4 linked regions of the Caenorhabditis elegans genome follow. The protein of the gene in region 4 interacts with the protein of the main gene of each other region in a pairwise test. Each region holds a gene or a part of one and is shown on either strand. Other genes may lie near its edges. The genes, in order: F43B10.1, sup-46, scrm-2 and Y37H2A.1.

Region 1 (4,895 bases), on a different chromosome or scaffold from region 4:
CAACTACTCTATTTCGAATTTTATTAAAATTCTGGAATTCCATGACAAACAAGGCAAAGTTGAAACAATAAAATTCAGCGAAAATTGACACTTGTGTTTACACTGAATTCTTGAGAATGGACGTCATAGAAATGTGTATTCGTTTCCGAAAATGTCCAAAAACAAAGCAGAAAATTGTTGTGAAATTATTTAACAAATAATTTGAAAGTTACAATTTTAATGAAAAAAAAATTTCATTGAAATGATCACCTAAACTAAACAGAGATAAGGGAAAAACTACATTTGGAGTTATAAAAACATGTTATTTTATACTTTGGAAAGGTGCAATTCTCAGGATTGACGTAAGTATTTTTTGGTGTCTGAGAAAAAAAAACCAACTAATAGAAACAGCAATCAAAAATCGTCTCAAAATAGAGCACACGTTCTAAAAACTGTCATTTCTCTCGAAAACAAGATCCAGAATACTTTTTCATCTCCGAACACAAGCCCCGATAGTTTTTCGCGGTTGTTTGCACTATTCCCACATGATTGAAAGTACACTAACAAGATTTTGCCAAGCAAAACCCCACAGTCTCATAAGAAATTGAAGATCAGGATTTAAAAAAAGAACTAAAAAATACTCACGTTTGATTTGAAGTCGAAAATCGAATGGGTCGCAATGTCGTGTTGTTTAATTGGCTGCTGCTGATACTGTGGACGGTAGTGATTATGTTGCTCTTTCCCAAGGTAGGACTGGTGGTTTTGATGATTTTGCAGTGGTTGATGATTCTGATTCTGAACCGAATGCACTTGAATATGACGGATTGGCGGTGTCGGCGACGAGTGCTGATATGTGCTGCCCATGTCCACGTGAATGACTGGTTTGGCACGAAACACCGCGCTCCGTGGACTCATATTGCCATTGGTTTGCGGTACAGCTTTAGCGGTCGCCGCAACTGGTACATGCTCGTTGTATTTGACGGTTGTGGTCGAGAGTTGCACAACGGGAGTGCCTGGTCGTTTTTCGAATTCTGTGATCCGAGAGGCAACACTTCCGGTCGAGGGCACCGGGAAGTTCGGTCCGTTTCGATACATGGTTCGCGAAATTTGATAGCCAGGAGTATGAATTCCAGCTAAATGAAGTTGTTCTTTCACATTATGCTTCGGTTTTGGATGCGGAAGTCCTGTTGGAATCTGATACACTGAAGAGCTCTCGCTGACCTCATCTGTTGGGGATGGAGAGTGCAGCTTCCGGTGAAGTGACAAAGCAGGAGACTTAGACACCTCAATTGGTGGGGGACTAAAAGCGTGTTCACCTGTTGGAAATCTACCGCAACCTCCAACTCGTCGGTTTAGAGAATCATTGTGAACAACAGGTGCAGGTGACACGGATCCAAATGTTGTTCCGCCAAATGTATTTCCACGAACAGTTCTTGAGAGTTCATTTACAGCATTATCCAGTTCATTGAAACTTGGAATTAGGAAAGAATTTGACGGAAAAGCTGGATTCAATGGAGTTCTCGGCTTCTCGGTGTATTCGACGGATGGTTCTCTCATCAGCTCAGCTTTTCTTGCAGCAACTCCTTGACCACTGCCAACTCTCTGAGTAAACCTTTTTTCAGTGTCGATTGGTTCTTGTAACATTTGAAGTCGTTCTGCTGCTGTTAAACTTGTTGGAATTCTCTGAATTGTTGGCGAAGAAGGTCTCGAGCTGATGGTTTGACTCCAGAAATTATCCAATGCTCCGGATTTTCTTTGTTCTGGAGCTTCAGCTGCTCTTCGTTCAACCGCTCTTCCAAGAAGCGAACTATTCATTTCATAGTTACTTGAAGACTTTGAAATTGGCAGCTGTGCTCCACGTCGTGGCAAAGTCATTGACCCAGTGGTCGTAAAAGCGGATGGACTCAACAAGTCATCGCTTTCCAAATTTTGAAACCGATTCTGCAACTGTTCAAACGATTTGCTCCATTCTGATGTGCTTCGACTCATGTTGTCATCAAGGAGACGTTGAGCAATAATATCCAACTGATCCGTGTCGTGAAACACGGGTTGACGAAAACCTCCGGACGACGCACTTGAGGCGAGTGCGGGTACTCCGTTGTTGTAAAATTGATGAGATGAAGAGGAAGATGGCGGCGGCGGCGGCGGTGGATGACGATGAAACTCAGATCGATTTTCGAACGGGTGCGCCTGTTGCTGCTGCTGTTGCAATGACGACTCTCGTGGAAGTGGCAGAGGAGGACCACCAAGCGAACTTGAGTGCTGATATTGATGCGGGGTAGAGTTGTGGTATTCGCGATGAAAAGTAGAAGTTACCGGACCGTTCGAGGTGAAGGTTGTTTGCACTCTTTGTTGAGACGGATATCCGTTTCCGTTTGGAACCACGTTTTGATAAACCGAAGTTGTCGATCGAACACCGTTTGGGACTTCTTGGCGAATTGAATACTCAATTAGTGGAAAGTTAGATTCGGACGATTGATAGGTATACGATCGTGTCGGTGGAGCCCGATCCGTGTGAATTCTGTCGATATAGGCTTGCACGGCTGGTGAGTTTTGCACAGAGTGCTGTGCAGACGGGTAACGAGAGAGTAAGTCGAGAAGTGCAGAGCCACTGGCTGGCGATCTTTCGCGAAGGTGTTCCGAGAAGGAAGAGGGTACTGACAGGTTATGTGACGAGTGGTACTCTGAATGTGACGACCAGGGCGTGGTTGAAGCTGGTCTTCGTTGTTGGGACGGAAAGTTCACTTCAGCAGTACGAAGTGGTCCTTGATTCCACGGCTCTGGAATGTGATCCTCCGAGATTGTTCTCGGCTGATGTTGAAACGCTGATCTTCGATTATCGGCCGACTGCGACCGGAAACGAGTAGTTTGGGGGTCGTTTTCAGCACCAAACGTGGTTGTAGTGGCCAAACCACTGCCTCCGTACCGTAACGATTCCGATGGAAACTGCACTGACGAGGACGACGGCTGGTTGAATCTTGCGAAGTAGTCGTCGTCAAGATGGTACATTTACCCTTTGCTCTCGCAAGTACTGAAAGATGTCCGAAATTGGAAGAGAGATTAAAAGAATGGCGGGGGAAGAACAAAGAAACGAGATATTTTGCAGGACAACTGTTGAGTAGGTGGCAGCAAGTTGGAGCAAAAATGCACAAAAACATGGAAAAACGCAACAAATCAAACAAACTTGAGAGGCAGAGTGAGAGGTAACAAAGGAAAAAAGATAGGATCATAATCAAATTTAATAGAGGAAGGAGGATTGATTCATAATGAGAGGAAAAATACTACTTAAAAAATTTTTTATTTGCATTGCATTTTTTATTTATAAAATGAACTTGAACCCACTGGTAACTTAAAATAGAATTATATAATAGATCAGTATCTAGCAGGTAGCAATTAGTGGGAAAACATAGATTGAAATGAAAGTGCGAAAAAGAAGAAGAATAGGAGTGGCCTGAACCAGCAGAAACTGCAGATTGAAGTGATTAGTAATAGTAACAACTTTTCCTTTAGGAGGAGCGACATATTTTGTAAGAAGATTTGGAAAAGAAGATGTGATGAAAGAATGAACGATAGATGGTGATGATGATGAGAATTCTGAACATTAATTCTACGAAAAAGGTTGAAAGAGCTCTTAGAGCGGAGTTTTTAAGCTAAAAAACCAAAACCACTATTCAAAAATCTAGATCCTAAAAAACTAGAAAAGCGGATACGAAAAAAAGTGGGAGGATAAAAGATGAAACGATGATCAAGCGAAAAAAGACAGGTAGTAGTGAGCGAGTGCAACCAGAACGTCGGCGGTAAAAAAGAAAAAGAGACGAAGCAGCAAGAAGAGAAAATGAAAAAGCAGAAAAAGAAGAAGAAGAAGAAGCTGAATGGTCTAGAAGCCAATAAATTGCGAGCCCCTCGAGAAGACTTTCGAGGCGAAAGCGGCGACGAGCCGATAGAACACTGGTATTGTTACAGCGGGTAGACGGGGCTCCCGGCGAGAGCGAGGGAGAGAAAGAGATGGAGTATATATTTTCTCGAGGAGAGACGGAATACGTTTTTGCTTTCATTTCAGAGGTCCGTCCTTCTACACTTCGACGACCCCCGACAGCTGTCGCTAGATCGCCTGCTCTTTTTCTCTCACTCTCTCGATGTATCATTATCGGGCACTCGTCAAGTGCAATCCGTGGTCACCTAATCATCATTCCTTTTACGTTTCACTATTTTTATATTGAACGGGAGAAATATTAAAAGCGAAGTTTAGGAATGGAAGATGACGGCGGCTGAAAAATGACTGAAAAAAGGAATTGATCCTATGGAGTTCCAAAGCAAGTTTCATTTTGTTCAGTAAAAAACTTTCTGGAGGACATAGTTTATGAGACTGAGTTATCCTGGAAACAATGCAACAATCTAAAGAATAAAAGCAATCATAATCAAGAGCGAATATATTTACAAAATTTGGTACTTGTGCATTAAAACCCCGCATTTTTAAAATTAATTAAACTTCCATTTATCTTCCGATTCTGATAAAACGTGATGTTCATTTTCCCTGTTTAGGCTTAGAAATGATTAAATGTTTATAAGCCGAAAAATACAAAAACTCGACACGTTTTTATTTAAAAATTCATTTTTAATATGAGGGATTAGAATACAAGTACCTAAAATCTTATTTCAAATTTTTGCAAATTTTTGTCATTTTTTTTCAAAATTTCAGTGGAATTCTTCTTAAAAACAAATCTAGCTGAAAAAAAATTTGAAAAAATTCGATATCATTTTGTTAGGAGTTCATAGGATACATTTTCCAAATATCTAAATATTTATTAGAGAAGCAAGTATGATTTTTTGGCAGCACTCAACGATTTTTCTGTTTGGAGTTGAAATTATTGTTGAAAGATTCTCGATTTTCCAGGGTTTCTAGGATTTCAAGCAAA
Region 2 (5,036 bases), on a different chromosome or scaffold from region 4:
ACTACAGTACTCTTTGAGGCGCACACCCGTTTGTATTTAACAAAAAATTGTCGTGACGAGACCAGGAACGGTATTTTTGGTGCCAAAATTTTTTATTGCCGGTTTTGAAATAAAAACAATTAATTTTTAAAAAAATTGATATAACAGTACTCGTTATAAAGCAGAATTCAGAATCCTTCTCCAAAAGCCTCAAGGTACCGTAATCCAGAGAAAGGCGTCAAAAATGAAAACATAGACAAACGAAAGAAAGTTGTGAGCATACAAATAGACACACACAATGCTCATCATCGTTTTCTCAGCAACAAAGGATTCTTCATGGGCGTGACTATCTTTTGCTCATGAAGGAGAGAGACGTCTTCAAAACGCAATTAAGGGCATACGGTAAAACGTTTGAGCAGCAGTTGTCGCGCGCAAATCAGATTGCGTGAAGCTCTTGTTTGATGCGGGACACACATGCTAAATTGTCTTCTGAATAGCACCTCAAATTGTGCGGCGCTCATCTGAAGACACACTTGTCACGTCATTTATTATTAAAACTTTTATTTGTCACCATCCTGCCAGAGGAAAATATGAGAAATAGTTTTAGAGTGATGAAAATGAGGAAGATGTTTTAAATTATTGAGATTCCGTTGACAAGGAAGCCTTTTTAAAGGGATAAGGAAGGATAGAGATGGAGAAAAAACGGATAAAATAAAGATAATAGATGATGATTCAAGAGAAACGTGAGAAGTTTCAAATACAAATATAACAGGGGGAATGAATTAGGCGTAGTCAACGCTGATCATGCGGCCTTCGACAGTGGATCCATAGAGGGCAGCACGAGCACGTTCAGCGTCTTGGAAAGTTGCAAAACGAATGCGAGCAGCTCCTGGCGCCATCATATCAACAGAGTCGACTTCTCCGAAGTTTCGAACACGGTCACGGACAATTTGCCAGGTATAATCGCTTGGAAGCTGAATAACAGATCATAAATGAGAACAAATTGAAATTTGAATTGAAAACTTACGTTGCGAATGATAATAACCCTTGTTGCCTGGGGTGTCGCAGCACCGGCGAGTCCACCAGCTCCATTGACACCAAAGACGTCAGGTTGAGCAAATGTGGCTCCACCAGCACCACCAACACCAGCATTTCCTCCAAATGGTCCATTGTTCATGACGGATCGGGCAAAGTTGGCTTGTTCAACGACTCCTCCAAAACCACCAGCCGAAACAACTTGTGGTCCACCTACGAATGGGGCAGCTGGAGCTGTGAACTGAAATATAGATAATTAAATTAACTTTTAAAAATTTTATAATTGAGTATTTGTTATCAAGAGTTTCATCGAACATTTTTTGTGCTTTTTTCAGAGAAAGTTCCGTTTGTTCTGAAAATCGAAAAACATGTTTAGCAAATTGGAATATAAAAACCCATTTTTGTATTAAGTTTTCAGATTGTTGATGGGGAAAAACATAAGAAAACATATCGTTTTCTTATAAAAGGCCATTTTTCGAAAAATCAAAATGTTGGAAACCCGAAAATTTCTGTTTAAAAAAAATTAATTTTTCGATTTAAAAAAATCTAAAACCACCATTGAATGCTAGTATATACCACACCGATGAAATTTGTTTTAAATCGCTTACCGGCACTGAAGCATCTCCTGGGAACATTCCATGAACATTGGAAAGTGGTGCTCCTTCTGCTCCAAGACCCATTCCGATTGACTCAAGACCTCGTGGAAGTCCACCTTCTTTGTGCTCCAGTTCCTTATCGAATCTATCCATTTTCACAACCAGATTTCGATCAAAAAGTCGCTGACCATTGAGCATCGAAACGGCTTGTACGGCTTCAATTGGGTGAGTGTATTGAATTACGCATACTCCCTGGAAGACACCATTTATATTTTATAGGAACTATAAATATTAACAAACCTTTGACTTTCCTTCTTTATCAATGCGGAAGTCCATCCAGGTGATTTTACCGGCCATACCGAAGACTTCGTAAAGCTTATCGGTTCCGACATTGAAAGCCAACTGAAAATGTTTGATTAATAATATTGTCTTGGAAACAGAAGTGGAATTTCGGAAATTCTATAAAATGACATATTTCGCCATGTTAAATATAGAAAATCACTTTTTTAAATCTGAAAATAACACTTATTTCAGATAAAACACTTGGAAAAGCGCTTCAAAAATACCAGGATGTTGCAAATTGCCGATCATCAAATTGTTGAATTATCGTTTCTCGGCAAATGGCAACTTTTGGTCATTTTCGCGCACTTTTCCAAATGTTTAAAACGAGATAATTTTTTTTTAATTTTCAGATAAATCAAGTGATTATCTACATTTTCAGACTAATTTTTGATGAAAACTTTTGAAAAAAACATGTCGCAATAGGTCATTTTGTAGCATTTCCGAAAATAATTGCCAACCACCTCTGATTGGGAACTAAGAATGGTATTTAGTAACTGAATTAGTGATGCTATATTTTATTCGTATGATACTGAGAGATCTACCCGGAGGATGCAACTGTCTGAACAAACTATAATAAGCACTGATTCCATTTTGTTGTATATAATTCCACGTAGAAAGCTTCCTACTACTATTCCGTTTAAAAACACCAAAATGAAAAATTGCATTTATTTCTCCCATTCGAATAATTTCATATCTCAAAACTGAGATAAAGACCCAGCAAGTGAACGTGGTCTAGATGTGGAGCCCTTCGAGAAGAAGAATATTTGAAACCTACATTGGCGATGAAGATGCGCTCACAGAGTGGCGGTTCAATGTTGTGTTGGCGAAGGAATTCCATATTGAGACCGAATAAATCATAAGTTCCAGTTCGAGTAGGGCGATCAAGATCTTTTGGTGGAGGACCTCGTCCTCCTGCACCACCACCTCCGGTACGAGACAAGTAATCAATGCCTGTTTCAGTTTTGATGGTTCGGAAGAAAGCATTCGGATCCTACAGAAAAAATAAAAAATGGATGAAAATTTCTGAATGTGAGTGTCAAAATTAAATAGATACGGACCCGAATTTCTTTGGCGATGATGGTTCTTCCCTTCCAGTCGAACTTTTGTAGATTCTCAACGCATTTTTCGGCACCCTCACGAGTTTCGAACTCAACCACAGCGTTACCCTTTGGCTTGCCGTTACGGTCTTCGAGCAACTCGCAGAAAGCGACTTCACCTCCTTTCTCGCGAACTAGACTTTTCAAATCGACCCAACGAGCCTCATAGGCGATATTGGTGATAAAAACCATTCGGTTGTTCGATGATGAGTTCCCATTGTTACTTCCAACAGCAGCGCCGATACGACCTTAAGGAAATGGAAAATAGAGAAGGATTTCTATGGAAAAAATGGTGGAAACGGGAATGAAGAATATCAAAAACTATACTTCTTCTTGGACTTCTGGATCGGCTCCGACGCTCTCGCTTAACATCACGCTGTGGTCCGTCTCGACGATTTCTGTTCATGTTGGCTGATGGAACACGGATCTTGGATTAAGCTTTCTGAATGAGTTGAACTAGAATCAATTAGACGATAAGCAAATGTTTTCATATAACAACGGGCTTCTTTAAAAAACAATTGAAATTTTATTTCCATTTTGATTGCTAACAAGTCGAAAATTAATTGTAACTAAAATAATCTGCTCGCTGAGTGGCCCATTTTTATTGTTGAAAGAGATAAAAGATTATTTACTGAACTGTCTCGCCAATGTAATACTTGATTTGACATCGAATTGAAAAACTATGTTACAACAATGATCGAAAACTTATGCACAGATGAGTAAAAAGTTTTGTGATCGCACCTTATTTGCTTCTTTACTTACAAATAGGCCACTCGAGCAAAATTTGACTTGATATCTTACAGAAAGACTAGAATGCTCTAAACTCTCTTAAAATTCCCGAACCGAAAATTAAGTTTTCAAAAAGAGGAACAATTTCGAAATTTATCTATCGGAGCAATTCTCTGAAACATCTTGGAGATTTTCCGACTGATAATGCATATTTAAGCCGCGAGAACCATTTAGCAAATTTTAAAACAAAAAAACGTTTGATTTAACGAAGAAAATAAAGAAAAATAAATACGATAAAAGAGAGAAAAATCGAAATTCGAAAAGAAGAGACGGCGGCAAACACAAGTGTGCATTTGTGCGTCGAGACGAGCCGCACAGCCGACATCAGATTTGACGCCACAAATCGCCGCGAAAAGTGAAGGCTTTTTCTTTGCTGCTAAGCCAGTATTCTGGATCTTTTACGATTTTTTTTTCATTTTCGATAGCATGGTTCTGTGAAACAAGATCTCTGTTCTCTTTGAAACACTCTATTCTATAATTTATTTTATTCTTCAATTGTTTCTTCCATGTTTCCCTAAAAATAATTTTGTTCGTTAATTGTCAATAGGATTTTTATGAACTGAATTCAGTGTCAAATTTCGGAGAAAGAATAGAAAACGTTTTTTGTGAGATAAGCTGCCTCTCGTTTTGTTTTGCCTCCGCATGACAGATTTATTCTCAATTTCACACTAAAAATTATTAATAATTGTACAATTTAGTTTTGCTTCAAGTTCTATAACAACGCGTTTTTGTTTTTTTTTCACAATTCATGCGCTAGCTGTCCAAAAATATTCAAAATGTTTATAGAATAGGTGATTCAACACCAACATTTCAAACTATCGTTCACAAGTCACATTCCAAATGACTAACGTCCATATAAAGTTTCTGATATTGCTCCAATCGTCCCAAATGTCTTATCATATACACTTCATGACGTGTTTTCCCTATTCTTTCTCTTTTCCCGCCGATGACCATGTCTCTCCCTTCTATTCCTCTAGGTTTCACCATACGAATATCAAATCGTATATACATTTAAAAGCCGACGCCTTCTACCATGTCGAACAGTAATCGCATGGAACTAGTTAGTCTTTTCCCAATCGCCGTCATTTCCCTCACTTTTATTCCTTACACTAGATTTTATTATTGATAGAACTGAAATCTTGGTCTTATGTTAACGACAAAAATCGTGCCTCGTTTCATTTTAAATGCAAAACTACCT
Region 3 (3,376 bases), on a different chromosome or scaffold from region 4:
GTGAGGCGCGAAATGCGGGCCTCACGCTGATACCGCTGTGTATTCGAATGTGTATTCAAAATATATTCAAATGCAAAAAGGCAGTTATTTGAAGCAGCCGACACTGTCGGGGTTCACTATACATTCGGATACATGCGGCTTGAGTGACGCCGTGAGGCCGGCGCGGTGACCGCTGAGGCCAGCGGATGCGCCGTTGCGGCGACTTCATGGAAGCCCTAGCACATACCTATCTAAAATACTGCGCCAGAAAGCTGACAACATTCTGGAGAAAGTATCTACACTAACTATAAGTTAACTCGTCAGCACTGTTGCCAGCTATACCGTTACCAATTTTCTTACAGGAATCGATGCGAACATCCTTATCTACATCCTACTCCTTGTCCTTCTCATTTGGTGCTTCTGTATTGCCCTGTGTCTTATTTGGATGTACGTGTGTGCCAAGCAACGAAAACACAAGATGATCAGTAAAGCTGAAGAGGAACGTGAAGCTATGTTGGCACTTTTGGAGAAAGGACACGAGACGGAGCACAGTTCTCGTAGAGCTAAACCATCGGTTTCTGTGGAAAGTGATGAGTTTGATAAGGAGTGGAAAAATGTGAGTTACAAAAACAGTTATTGATTTTTTTTCCAATTTTTAAATTGCAGATCAAACCATCCAAGTACACCCCCGCTTCTGTTTCCACTAACGAAACTAAATCCGAATTGGAGAGTGTGAAGCAACCGGTTGCAGCTACCCATGTCGCTCCTGTAGAAGTTTCAGAGTTCGAGGAGAGGCTCGATGATGATGTGGATCATAAGCCAAGACATGGAGGATATGTTAAGACGAAGAGAACTGCTGACTTACATTTTGACTGAAAATGAATAAAGTTTATGAGGGAATTAAATGGAATGTTAGTTGATGACTCAGGAATAAATTTTCGATAATTCCCAAGAGAAATGTGGTGACCCCTGGTAGCTTCTAGGTAATTGCAAATGAATTCTCGTATGAAAATGTTATAAATTGAAAAAATTCTCTCAATTTTTAGTACACGAGTACCCTGAACCTTGTGCTGTTTTCAAAGTATGTGTGTCTAGCTTCCCTCTTCGTCTATGCGCCTCTCACTTTCCGAACACATTCGCTGGTCCCACTTTCTGAACCCGCTTTTTCTCTGTTTCATGTTTTTTGAGCATCAATAAAAACAACGAATGTTTCCTACTTTTGACCAGTTTTCCGGTTTCAACTGTTCAGCAATTTTTTTCGATCTAAAGCAATAGTTTTTACTGTAATTTCTGTAGTGTTTGAAGAAAACCCCACGGATTTATGAGTTATAAAATATCAATATGCGTTTTTAAGTGTTTATTTCGACGAAATTTTTTTTACCTCTATTTTTATCAGTTTTAGAGCTCGATGAGCCGAGTAAAATTATTGAGTAGTCAGTAAACTCTTTTATCTATTTTTTCTATTTTTGAGCACCAATTTTGTAACAAAATGAAATTTAAGAATTCGGACCAATCTTTGCTTAGTTAAGCGCAATTTCAAACAATCAGCAACCCGTTTTTTATAAGTTTCAGATTCGAAATAATGGATCAACTATTTTATAATGGACCACCTGATTACGTTGAAATTGAAGACCGAGCCATAACAACTGAACCAGGAGCTTCTATACAAGCAGCTCCCGGAGCAATTTGGATGGAAGCACTTCCAGCGATTGAGGGAATCCCAGCAGGGTTGGAATACCTTGCCTACTTGGACACGGTCATGGTGCATCAAGTGAAGGAGGTTCTTGAGATTCTTACTGGATGGGAGAGTAAAAATAAGTATGCTATTAGAAATAAAAATGGACAGCAGTGTTACTATGCGTTCGAAGAATCCAACGCTTGGGAGAGACAGTGTTGTGGATCGCAACGAGGTTTTACGATGCACATTGTGGATAATTTTAACAAGGTGAGTTATGGCCTAGAGATGCAGATTTCTAAGCCATGAAGCTTGAGTTCTTATCACTTTTTAACTCCTGATTATTTCATGGGATGTGTAATAATAGGAAAACATTCCTAAAGTTTCTTGAAAATTCTTTTAAATTAAGTTTTTAAAACATTTGTTTTGTTAAGAATGTGCTCATCGTCAAACGAGAATTAAGATGCTGCGCAGACTCATTTTGTGGATGCTTGCTAGGTCTTCAAAACATATGCACCATTGAATCACTATCAACTGGCCTTCTGGGTACTGTCCTTCAAGGATATGGTTGCACGAATTCATTCTATAACATTTTGGATAAAGATGGAAATCTGATTTTCCTAGTTGATGGTCAAGGATGTTGCACAAGTTGCTGCTGTGAAGATAAGGATTTTACGGTGACAAGACTTTGCCGAATTTAAAATACTCCATACTTTTCAGATCAAAACTCCCGACAGCTCCGTGCCAATTGGCTCAATAACCAAGAAGTGGGGTGGACTATTGCGTGAAGCGTTTACCGATGCCGACACTTTTGCAGTCACCTGTGAGTTAGTCTTGAAAGTGAAAGAATAGTTGAAAGAATTTCAGTTCCCATCGACCTTGATGTCAAGCTCAAAGCGATACTGCTGGGAGCCACATTTTTGATTGTGAGTTTTTGTGCTTCTTATCCAAAATTTAATTTAACTATTACTCTATTTTCAGGATTTCGTGGAGTTCGAAAATAATAACTGATGTGGAAAAACTGGAAATCTCGCAATGCACTTCTCGCTTGTTTTCTGCGATCAGAGCTCTAATTATGAAATGATAATGTGCTTTCTTTGTATGCATGTATATTAAAATAAGACATTTTGCAAACGCGCCGTTTGCATCGCTTTGCTTCTTTTCTTCAACATCTTCAAAATGAAATAAAATAATTATAATTATATCGCACTTCCAATAAGCGTAAAGCAAGAACGATTGAATATATAACGGAGAAAACTCCGATATTAAAAATCTAGAAATCTTTTGATTAAAAATCTTTCGGTAAACTGATAAATACAAATTTGGCCTACTTTTCACCTGTATCGTTACCACCGACATGCTCTACTGCCATGCACATCTCTTCAATTCCGTGATTTACGAGACGAGAGGCAATAAAGATCACAGTTACGTTTTTTAAAGATTACAACTTTTTCAACTTCTTAGATTTTCACGAATACTTCCTTGTTGCATGTCTACGAAGCAAGCCTGCTGCCGAACCCAATTCTTTCAAAACGAACTATATTCATTTTTCAACCCTTTTTGATAAGTTTATCTTTTGTTAAAATATAAGAAAATGTCTTCGGAAGATCCTATTTATTCACAAAACGAATCACTGTTGTTAGGCAGTTCTAACAAGTAAGTTTCTTTTTTTGCACTGCTAGTGAGCCCAAGATTTTCCAAATAAAAGATTAATTTTGGCCA
Region 4 (7,848 bases):
AAATTTGGTAGAAAAAATAGAATTTTTCACAAAATTGTGGGGAAAACTAGCAAATTTTAACGCTATTTCATCAAAAAATTACAAAAAACACACTAGAAACACTAGAATTGAAAAAAATAGCGAAAAATGGAGTTTGGGTCTGCTAGACTACAAACTACAAAAAATCACTGGCAGACCAATTTAATTGGATTTTTCGGTTTTTTGCAATTGATTTCTATGAGAAAAATGTTAAAAATCGAAATTTACCAAAACATCGGTTTTAGGTCTGCTAGACTACAAACTACACACTTTTTCAATCAATTTTGTTGCATTTTTTCGGGTTTCCTCACCAAAATAGACGTTCGGACACTGTTTCATCCACATTTGTGCCACTTCCCAAGTCTCTGTGAAGCAATGACGGTGGATTTTCAGGAATTTATGATTTTCGTCCATTTTCTGAAATTATTTAGATACTTATATGGAAAAAAAACTGGAAATATTTGGGTCTGCCAGACTACAAACTACACCTTTTTAGCAGACACAATAATTTAAATTTCTGAATTTTTTTTTGCAGCAAAAATTGAAATTTCCGGGGTAATTTTGATTTTTGAAAAAAATTTAAGACTACAAACTACACAATGAAAACAAAGAAAGAACATTATGTAGTTTGTAGTCTTCAAAAATGAGAGAAATGTCCTTGTAGTTTCTCGAAAAATGTAGTTTTTCAGTTTTTTTTGTTGCAAATTTTGGGTCTGCCAGACTACAAACTACACTTTTTTAGCAGACCCAATTGCAAAATATCTATTTAATTTTCAAAAATCGGATTTTTCAATTAAATTCCTATTTCCAAAATTTGTTTTTAAAATTATTTCGAAAATGTCTCAATTTTTGGGCACAAAAAAATCTCAGAAATGAATTTGGGTCTGCCAGACTACAAACTACAAAAAAACTCTAGCAGACCCATATTTTTAGGTTTTTTGTCTAAGAAATTTGAGAAAAAAGTAAGCTCTGCGGTTTTTCGGCAATTTTCTGATTTCTAAATCAGAAATTTCAGAAAAGTTATATAAAATTAACATTCTAGACTACAAACTACATAATCTTAATTAGCAGACCCAAGTCAATTTTTTTTGCAAATTTTCAACGTTGCTTGGAAATATTTTGGTCTGCTAGACTACAAACTACACTTTTTAGATTTTTTTTTGCAAAAAAATCGATTTAAATCATCAAAAATCGGATTCATAAAAACTTCAAAAACTTTTCAAAAAATATTTTTTCAATTTCCAAAAAAAATCCGAGAATATTGGTCTGCCAGACTACAAACTACAAAAATATTTAGCAGACCATACCCAAAATCGGCAAAAATTTCAAATTTTCACAAAATTTTGGAGGAAAACTCGTTTAAACACTTTTTTAATGGGAAACATTCAAAAAAAAATCGCTTCGAGACAGCAGAAATCGAACAATTCGCTGAAAATTGATGATTTTTGGTCTGCTAGACTACAAACTACAAAAATTCATTAGCAGACCCATACGTCAATTTTCTCCAAAAAACACGATTTTTCCACCATTTTTTGCGAATTTTCCGCGGCTACCTTCTTCAAAATACGCAGGCATTGTTCTTCTGCACGTCCTTTTTGTCCACTTCTGCAGTGAATGACTAATGGTAATTGATACTTGTATGCCAAATCGATATGCTTCTCAAATACCATTTTCTGTACTTCTAGATCCGATATACAACGGTGTAAATCTAGTCCACACTCTCCGACGGCCAACACCTTCCACGTGGCTGCATTCGATAAAATGTGCTCAAGCGTCTGCCAGAAGATGTCTTTTGAAGCCCATCTGTAATTATTTGATGATAGACTACAAACTACAAAAGCATGTGTAGTTTGTAGTTTGGCATACGTCATAGAACATTTTCGACAGAAAATTGTAGTTTGTAGTCTAGCAGGCCTACAAACTACAAACTACAACTTTTTTGTTCAATTTTTAAATAATCAGTGTGTATAAAATAAAAATCCTCGCCAAAGCAATCTGATATTATCTTTTGTCGAATTTTTAAATTCTGTAGATCGGTCTGCTAGGCTACAAACTACAAAAAAACGGTAGCAGACCCATCGGATATTTCGAAAATTTGGGTTTTTAACGAGTTTTGGAGAAATTTTCCCGTTTTTTTTAAAGAAAATTGGGAAAAAGTGCAAAAAATTTTTAATTTTTGGGGAAAAAGGATTTTTTTTTTCAAAATTTTGGTGGAAAAATCAGTTCCAAAAATTATGTGTTTTTTTTCATTATTTAAAGTGATTTTTTGACTATTTTAGAACATTCCCCTGAAAGCCAAACAATTCAGTGAGAAATATCAATTTAGGAGGAAAAAATTGATTTTTTTTTAATTTCAAGGTGCATTTTCTGTACATTTTTAATAAAAAAAGGTTAAACTTGCAAATTTTCTTTGCAAAAAAAAATTGAAAAATGTATTAAATTCGATTTTTATTATTTTTTTCCAAAAAGAATAGCCGAAAAATTATGTTTTTTTTTTCAATTTTCAAAAAAAAAAAATTTTTAATTTTCACTTCAACTTCTTTCACTAAAACGTTTTAAAAAAATTGGGTCTGCCAGACTACAAACTACACCAAGAAGTGACACATACTCTTGTGCATAATGTGGATGACATCCCCAAGTGGTTCCCAAGTAGATATTCGATTCAATTTCATTTATAATCCAATCTATATCATATCCATTTCCACCACCACCATCATTCACAACAAAAAGCGAAGGTTTAATGAAATTCGCAATGACTCCATAAAAAGATTTCGGAAATCCATATGGATATCGATGAATCCAATGCGATAGGCCATGACTGAGTGATGAATTCGGATTATTATGAACCATTTGGTTGTACATGAAATCAACGTGGCAATGTGAATCGATGAATGGGACAGTGTGCTCGTGTAACTGCAAAAAATCGGGTTTATTTGGGTGAATTTCCGAAAAAAATCCCCCCAAATCGGTAATTTCAAGTCATTTTTTGCTGAAAAACTAGTAAAAACTGGCGAAAAAACAGTTTTGTAGTTTAGAGTCTGTGTTTTTTCAATAGAAAATTCGGCATTTTTGGCGAAAAAATAGCAAAAAACCATTTTGGTCTGCTAAATATTTTTGTAGTTTGTAGTCCAGCAAGCAGACCCATTGGGTCTGCCAACTAACCAGTTTTTACTGAATTTTCCAGTTTTTTTTTTTTTTCAAAACACTGTAGTTTGTAACCTAGACTACAAACTACATATCTTTTTTTCGTCAAAATTTTGCATTTTCAAGTGAAAATTAGCAGATTTTTGGGAAAAAAAAACTCAGTTTCCCACAGAAAATCGATAGAAAATGTGGATTTCTGGATTTTCAGACGGGGTTTTCGGCGAAAAATGGGGTTTTATTCTACCGAATTTCAATATTTTCTGTGTGAAAATTGATTGCTTGAGTCAATTTTGGTGAATTTTCACATTCAAATTCCGAGAAAATGCAAATTTTGAGATATTTCCCGCAAAAAAATCATTAAAAACACTAACATTCTGTCGAAAATGTATAGTTTGTAGTCTGGCAGACCCGTTTGTTTGATTTGGGTCTGCTAGACTACAAACTACACAATTTTAAATTTTTTGAATCATACTGAATTTCGCCAATTTTCTCAATGTTTCGTGTGAAAATTAGCGAATTTTCATGAAAAATTCAATTTTTTGCAATTGTCACATTTGGCGGAAATTTCCAAAACCGGCAATTATCAAATTTGCCGAAAATTTCCAAAACCGGCAATTTTCAAATTTGCCGAAAATTTCCAAAACCGGCAATTATCGAATTTGCCGAAAATTTACAAAACCGGCAATTATCAAATTTGCCGAAAATTTCCAAAACCGGCAATTATCGAATTTGCCGAAAATTTACAAAACCGGCAATTATCAAATTTGCCGAAAATTTACAAAACCGGCAATTATCGAATTTGCCGAAAATTTCCAAAACCGGCAATTATCAAATTTGCCGAAAATTTCCAAATCCGGCAATTATTAATTGCGTGAACTGCTCCAATTCAACAGTGTGTTCAATTCAAAACCCATATTACCCTTTTCAAAAATTCAAAAAAAAAAAACGCGACGCAACCGCGACGCGCCGCTTAAAAATTTTCAAATTTCCAAGTACCTCCAGAATAATATCCTTAAATGGTATATTCTCATTGTGATAACTATTATTAGCTACAGGTCTATTCGGAAACGAATTAATTCTTGACGATTGTTGAATAATCGTCGGACGTTGATCAGGCCAATCTCCATTCGTTGAATAATTTGTACCACGGACGGGAAGCGGTCTTGAGGCGTTTTGAGGTGACATCGGGCGTCGGTCCAAAGGCGGCGGCGGTGGCCTACTATGGTGCATTGTTGGTGCTGCTCCGCCGAGCCGACGTGTATGTACTTGAACCATTTGATGATGTTGGTGAACAGCGGGACCCTGTAAAAAGAATTGTTTTAATGGTTTCCGATATTAAAATTCCGGATAGTTTTAGGGTGAAATATCTGCAAAATCTGAAATAAAAATGGCAAAAATTCCGGATATTTGGCATTGAAATCCGATTTTTTCATGGAAAATCTAGAAAAAAAACGGCAGAAATTTCATGGAAATTGGATTTTTCGTCCCTCACCAACCGCGAAAATCGATGGGATTTGTTGGTAGACACTTGGCAGCGTGCCAAGTGTGTTATTCGGAGAGCAGATGGCCATTAGCGGGGGAGGAAATTGGGAAATTTTGAGAAAAATCAATTTTTTTTTCGGAATTGGGGGGAAAAATTAGCGAATTTTAATGCTAATTGGTCAAAAATACAAGAAAAAATTAAAAAAAAAATCGCGAAATTTTTTTTTTTGGGTCTGCTAAATACATTTTGTGTAGTTTGTAGTCTGGCAGACCATAAAACTAGGTAAAAATCGTCAATTTCGCTGTGATTTTGGGCAGTTTTCCTGATTTTTTCTCGCTGGAAAAATCCAAATTTTGAATTTTCTCGCAATTTGAATATGAAAATTCACGAACATTGACTGAAAAATCGATTTTTACAGAGAAATATGAGTAAAATCACAATTTTCGCCGAAAAACCGTCTGAAAAAACGAAAAATCCCCATTTTTTATTAATTTTCTGTACGAAACCGAGTTTTTTCCCTCTAAATCTTTTTTATTTTTTTCACATGAAAACGCAACATTCAGTCGAAAAAAATATGGGTCTGCCAAATACGTTTTGTAGTTTGTAGTCTAGCAGACCTACTCTCAGAAATTTGGTCTGCTAGACTACAAACTACAAAAAACGCTAGCAGACCAATCGAAAATTTGAGAGATTACGCCGAAATTCCGGGTTTTTATGCTAAAATTGAATTTTTCACTGAAATTCTGGAATTCAAAAGTTAAATAAAATCCACGATTTAATTGATCTTTTAAACGAAAAAAAAATCGTATTTTTAAGGAAAATTCCATAAAAATTAGCCAATTTTTACAACAAAAAAACTGAGGAAATAGCCTAAAAATGTATATTTTTGTACAGTAAAAAGTGTAGTTTGTAGTACGCTCGATTTGGGTCTGCCAAACTACAAACTACGATTTTTTTGTGAAAATTAGCGAATTTTTATGGAATTTTAACGAAAAATACGATTTTTTCGTTTAAAAACGTCAAAATTTTTGTTATAAATTTTCAAAAAAGAAACACGTGGATTAAACGTGTAGTTTGTAGTCTAGCAGACCCAAATTCAGAAAATGGGTCTGCCAGACTACAAACTACAATTTTTTTGAAGTCCTCTCGAACAAAACTAATGACCTGTCTGCCCGGTGGTCCCCATGGAACATTTCTCCAGCTTTCATTAGAAGTCGAGCTGACAGGCCTTCCACCGGATCCAGATCCGGCCCGATTTAGTCCAGAATCTCGAATTAGTCCATCTTCTATTCCACCACCATCTTCACAACAATTTGGCGGCGGCGGCGGCTGTTGGAACCCGTAACGTCTTGGTTCACCCATTTTTTTTCTGCAAAAAAAAAGCGTTAAATTTCGTTGATTTTCTTTGACTGGCAAGAAAAATTTCGGAAAAAAAAAACGGTTTTTTAAGAATTTTGGAGAAAAAATCAGTTAAAAAACGTGTTTTTTGCATAATTTAAAGTGATTATTTGCCTTTTTTAAGAAAAAAATATCAAAAAAAAAACGCTTCGAAAGGCCAAAAATCAAAAAATTTGGAGTTTGGGTCTACTAGACTACAAACTACAAAAAACGCTGGCAGACCCATCGGGTAAATATTTCCAAAATTTGAGTGATTTTCGTTAGATTTTTTAAAGGAAACGTGATTTAAAAACGAATTCTTTTTCTAATTTTTCTATTTTTTTGTATTAAAAAAATTCTTTTGATATTGGGTCTGCTAGACTACAAACTACACAAAAATTGGTTTTTCTTTGTAGAAAAAAAAATCAAATTCGCAATATCATTATGAGCAGTTTTTGAGATTTTAATTTAAAAAAAAAATAACGCAATTTTTCGCGAAATATCGTAGTTTGTAGTCTGCCAGACCAAGTCACAAACTACAGAAAAAGAAAGGTATTGTAGTTTGTAGTCTATATCAGGATACTATAAACTACAAAAAACAAAGACGAAAAACAGAAAAAAAAAAGTACAAATATTTCTGGAGTTGAAACCAAAAAAAAATTGTGAAAAAATATATGAAAATTCAGAAATTTTCAGCAGAAATTTTTATAAAATATATATATATGGTGTGTCGGTGTCTAAAGCACGATGGCGGAGGAAAAAAAAATCAATAAATAGTTAAATTTTCGAAGAAAAAAGAGCAAAAAAATAAAGATATGACGAATTTGGGGGGTTTCTAACGAAAAAAAACCGAAAAAAAATCGAGAAACTGCCGGAAAATTAAGTTTTTTTTTGTTGCTACAATAATCATAATCATAATGTTTAAAGAAGAATTAAGTAATAGACACACAGGTTGTATACATGAACAGGTGAAGAAGGGACTTTTGTGAATAAATTAAAATTTTAAGAAAAAAAACCTGAGAAAAGGTGGCGATAGAGCACGTTTACTACACACAAACAGTGTTAATCGGTTAGAAAAGACAAAGAAGCTTGAGCAATCAATAAAATATGCTGAAAACTCGAGGAAAAATGGGGAAAAATGGAGTGGAAAATCGATTTTTTTACCAGAAAACACTTTGAAATTCGGGAAAAAACCCAAAAAATCGAATTTTTTGTGAAAAATTTGAGTTTTTTATCCGAAAAAATGCCGAAAATCCGCACACATTTCCGGTTAAAAACGCAAAAAAGCTAAATTTTGCCGAAAAAATGATGGGTCTGCGAAATATTTTTGTGTAGTTTGTAGTCTAGCAGACCCAAATCGCCGCGTATGGGTCTGCTAGACTACAAACTACACGTTTTTAAGCCAATTTTCGTATTTTTCAAGGGATATTGAGCAAAAATTTGCGAAAACTGAGAAATCGGCGTTTTTTTTGTTGATTTTTTGAGTGTAAAAACTCGAACTTTTAAACGAAAAAAAAATCGTATTTTTCAGGAAAATTCGATAAAAATTCGTAAATTTTCACAGGAAACAAACTAAGAAAATCTCTTAAAAATCTCTTAAAAATCGTGAAATTCAGTCGAAAAGTGTAGTTTGTAGTCTGGCAGACCCATACGCTTGATTTGGGTCTGCTAGACTACAAACTACAAAAATATTTAGCAGACCATCACTATTTTTTCGCTAAAAATGTCAAAATTTCATAAATTTGAGGCTAGGTGGCCAGACTACAAACTACACAAATCTGTAGCAGACCAAAATGATTTTCAGCTCATTTTCAGCCAAATTTCCT

Evidence for each region.
Region 1: the proteins of Y37H2A.1 (region 4) and F43B10.1 interact in a two-hybrid assay, tested with the Caenorhabditis elegans proteins (one large-scale study listed by BioGRID).
Region 2: the proteins of Y37H2A.1 (region 4) and sup-46 interact in a two-hybrid assay, tested with the Caenorhabditis elegans proteins (one large-scale study listed by BioGRID).
Region 3: the proteins of Y37H2A.1 (region 4) and scrm-2 interact in a two-hybrid assay, tested with the Caenorhabditis elegans proteins (one large-scale study listed by BioGRID).

The regions. Positions count from the first base shown.
Region 1 is NC_003284.9:16,651,496-16,656,390, forward strand, and holds the start of F43B10.1 (EF-hand domain-containing protein), read right to left. Parts: upstream 3,017-4,895; 5' UTR 2,989-3,016; coding exon 625-2,988; intron 1-624.
Region 2 is NC_003279.8:10,169,113-10,174,148, forward strand, and holds sup-46 (RRM domain-containing protein), read right to left. Parts: upstream 3,492-5,036; 5' UTR 3,456-3,491; coding exon 3,377-3,455; intron 3,298-3,376; coding exon 3,011-3,297; intron 2,944-3,010; coding exon 2,728-2,943; intron 2,013-2,727; coding exon 1,911-2,012; intron 1,863-1,910; coding exon 1,623-1,862; intron 1,256-1,622; coding exon 1,007-1,255; intron 954-1,006; coding exon 762-953; 3' UTR 527-761; downstream 1-526.
Region 3 is NC_003279.8:13,233,806-13,237,181, forward strand, and holds scrm-2 (Phospholipid scramblase), read left to right. Parts: upstream 1-1,542; 5' UTR 1,543-1,561; coding exon 1,562-1,924; intron 1,925-2,088; coding exon 2,089-2,331; intron 2,332-2,374; coding exon 2,375-2,477; intron 2,478-2,521; coding exon 2,522-2,580; intron 2,581-2,635; coding exon 2,636-2,665; 3' UTR 2,666-2,858; downstream 2,859-3,376. Other genes in the region: ZK1053.2 (uncharacterized protein), read left to right, coding at 342-595, 646-855.
Region 4 is NC_003283.11:18,106,435-18,114,282, reverse strand, and holds the start of Y37H2A.1 (Deoxyribonuclease TATDN2), read right to left. Parts: upstream 6,015-7,848; 5' UTR 6,008-6,014; coding exon 5,810-6,007; intron 5,302-5,809; exon of another isoform or gene 5,241-5,301; intron 4,465-5,240; coding exon 4,159-4,464; intron 2,932-4,158; coding exon 2,627-2,931; intron 1,822-2,626; coding exon 1,572-1,821; intron 436-1,571; coding exon 330-435; intron 1-329.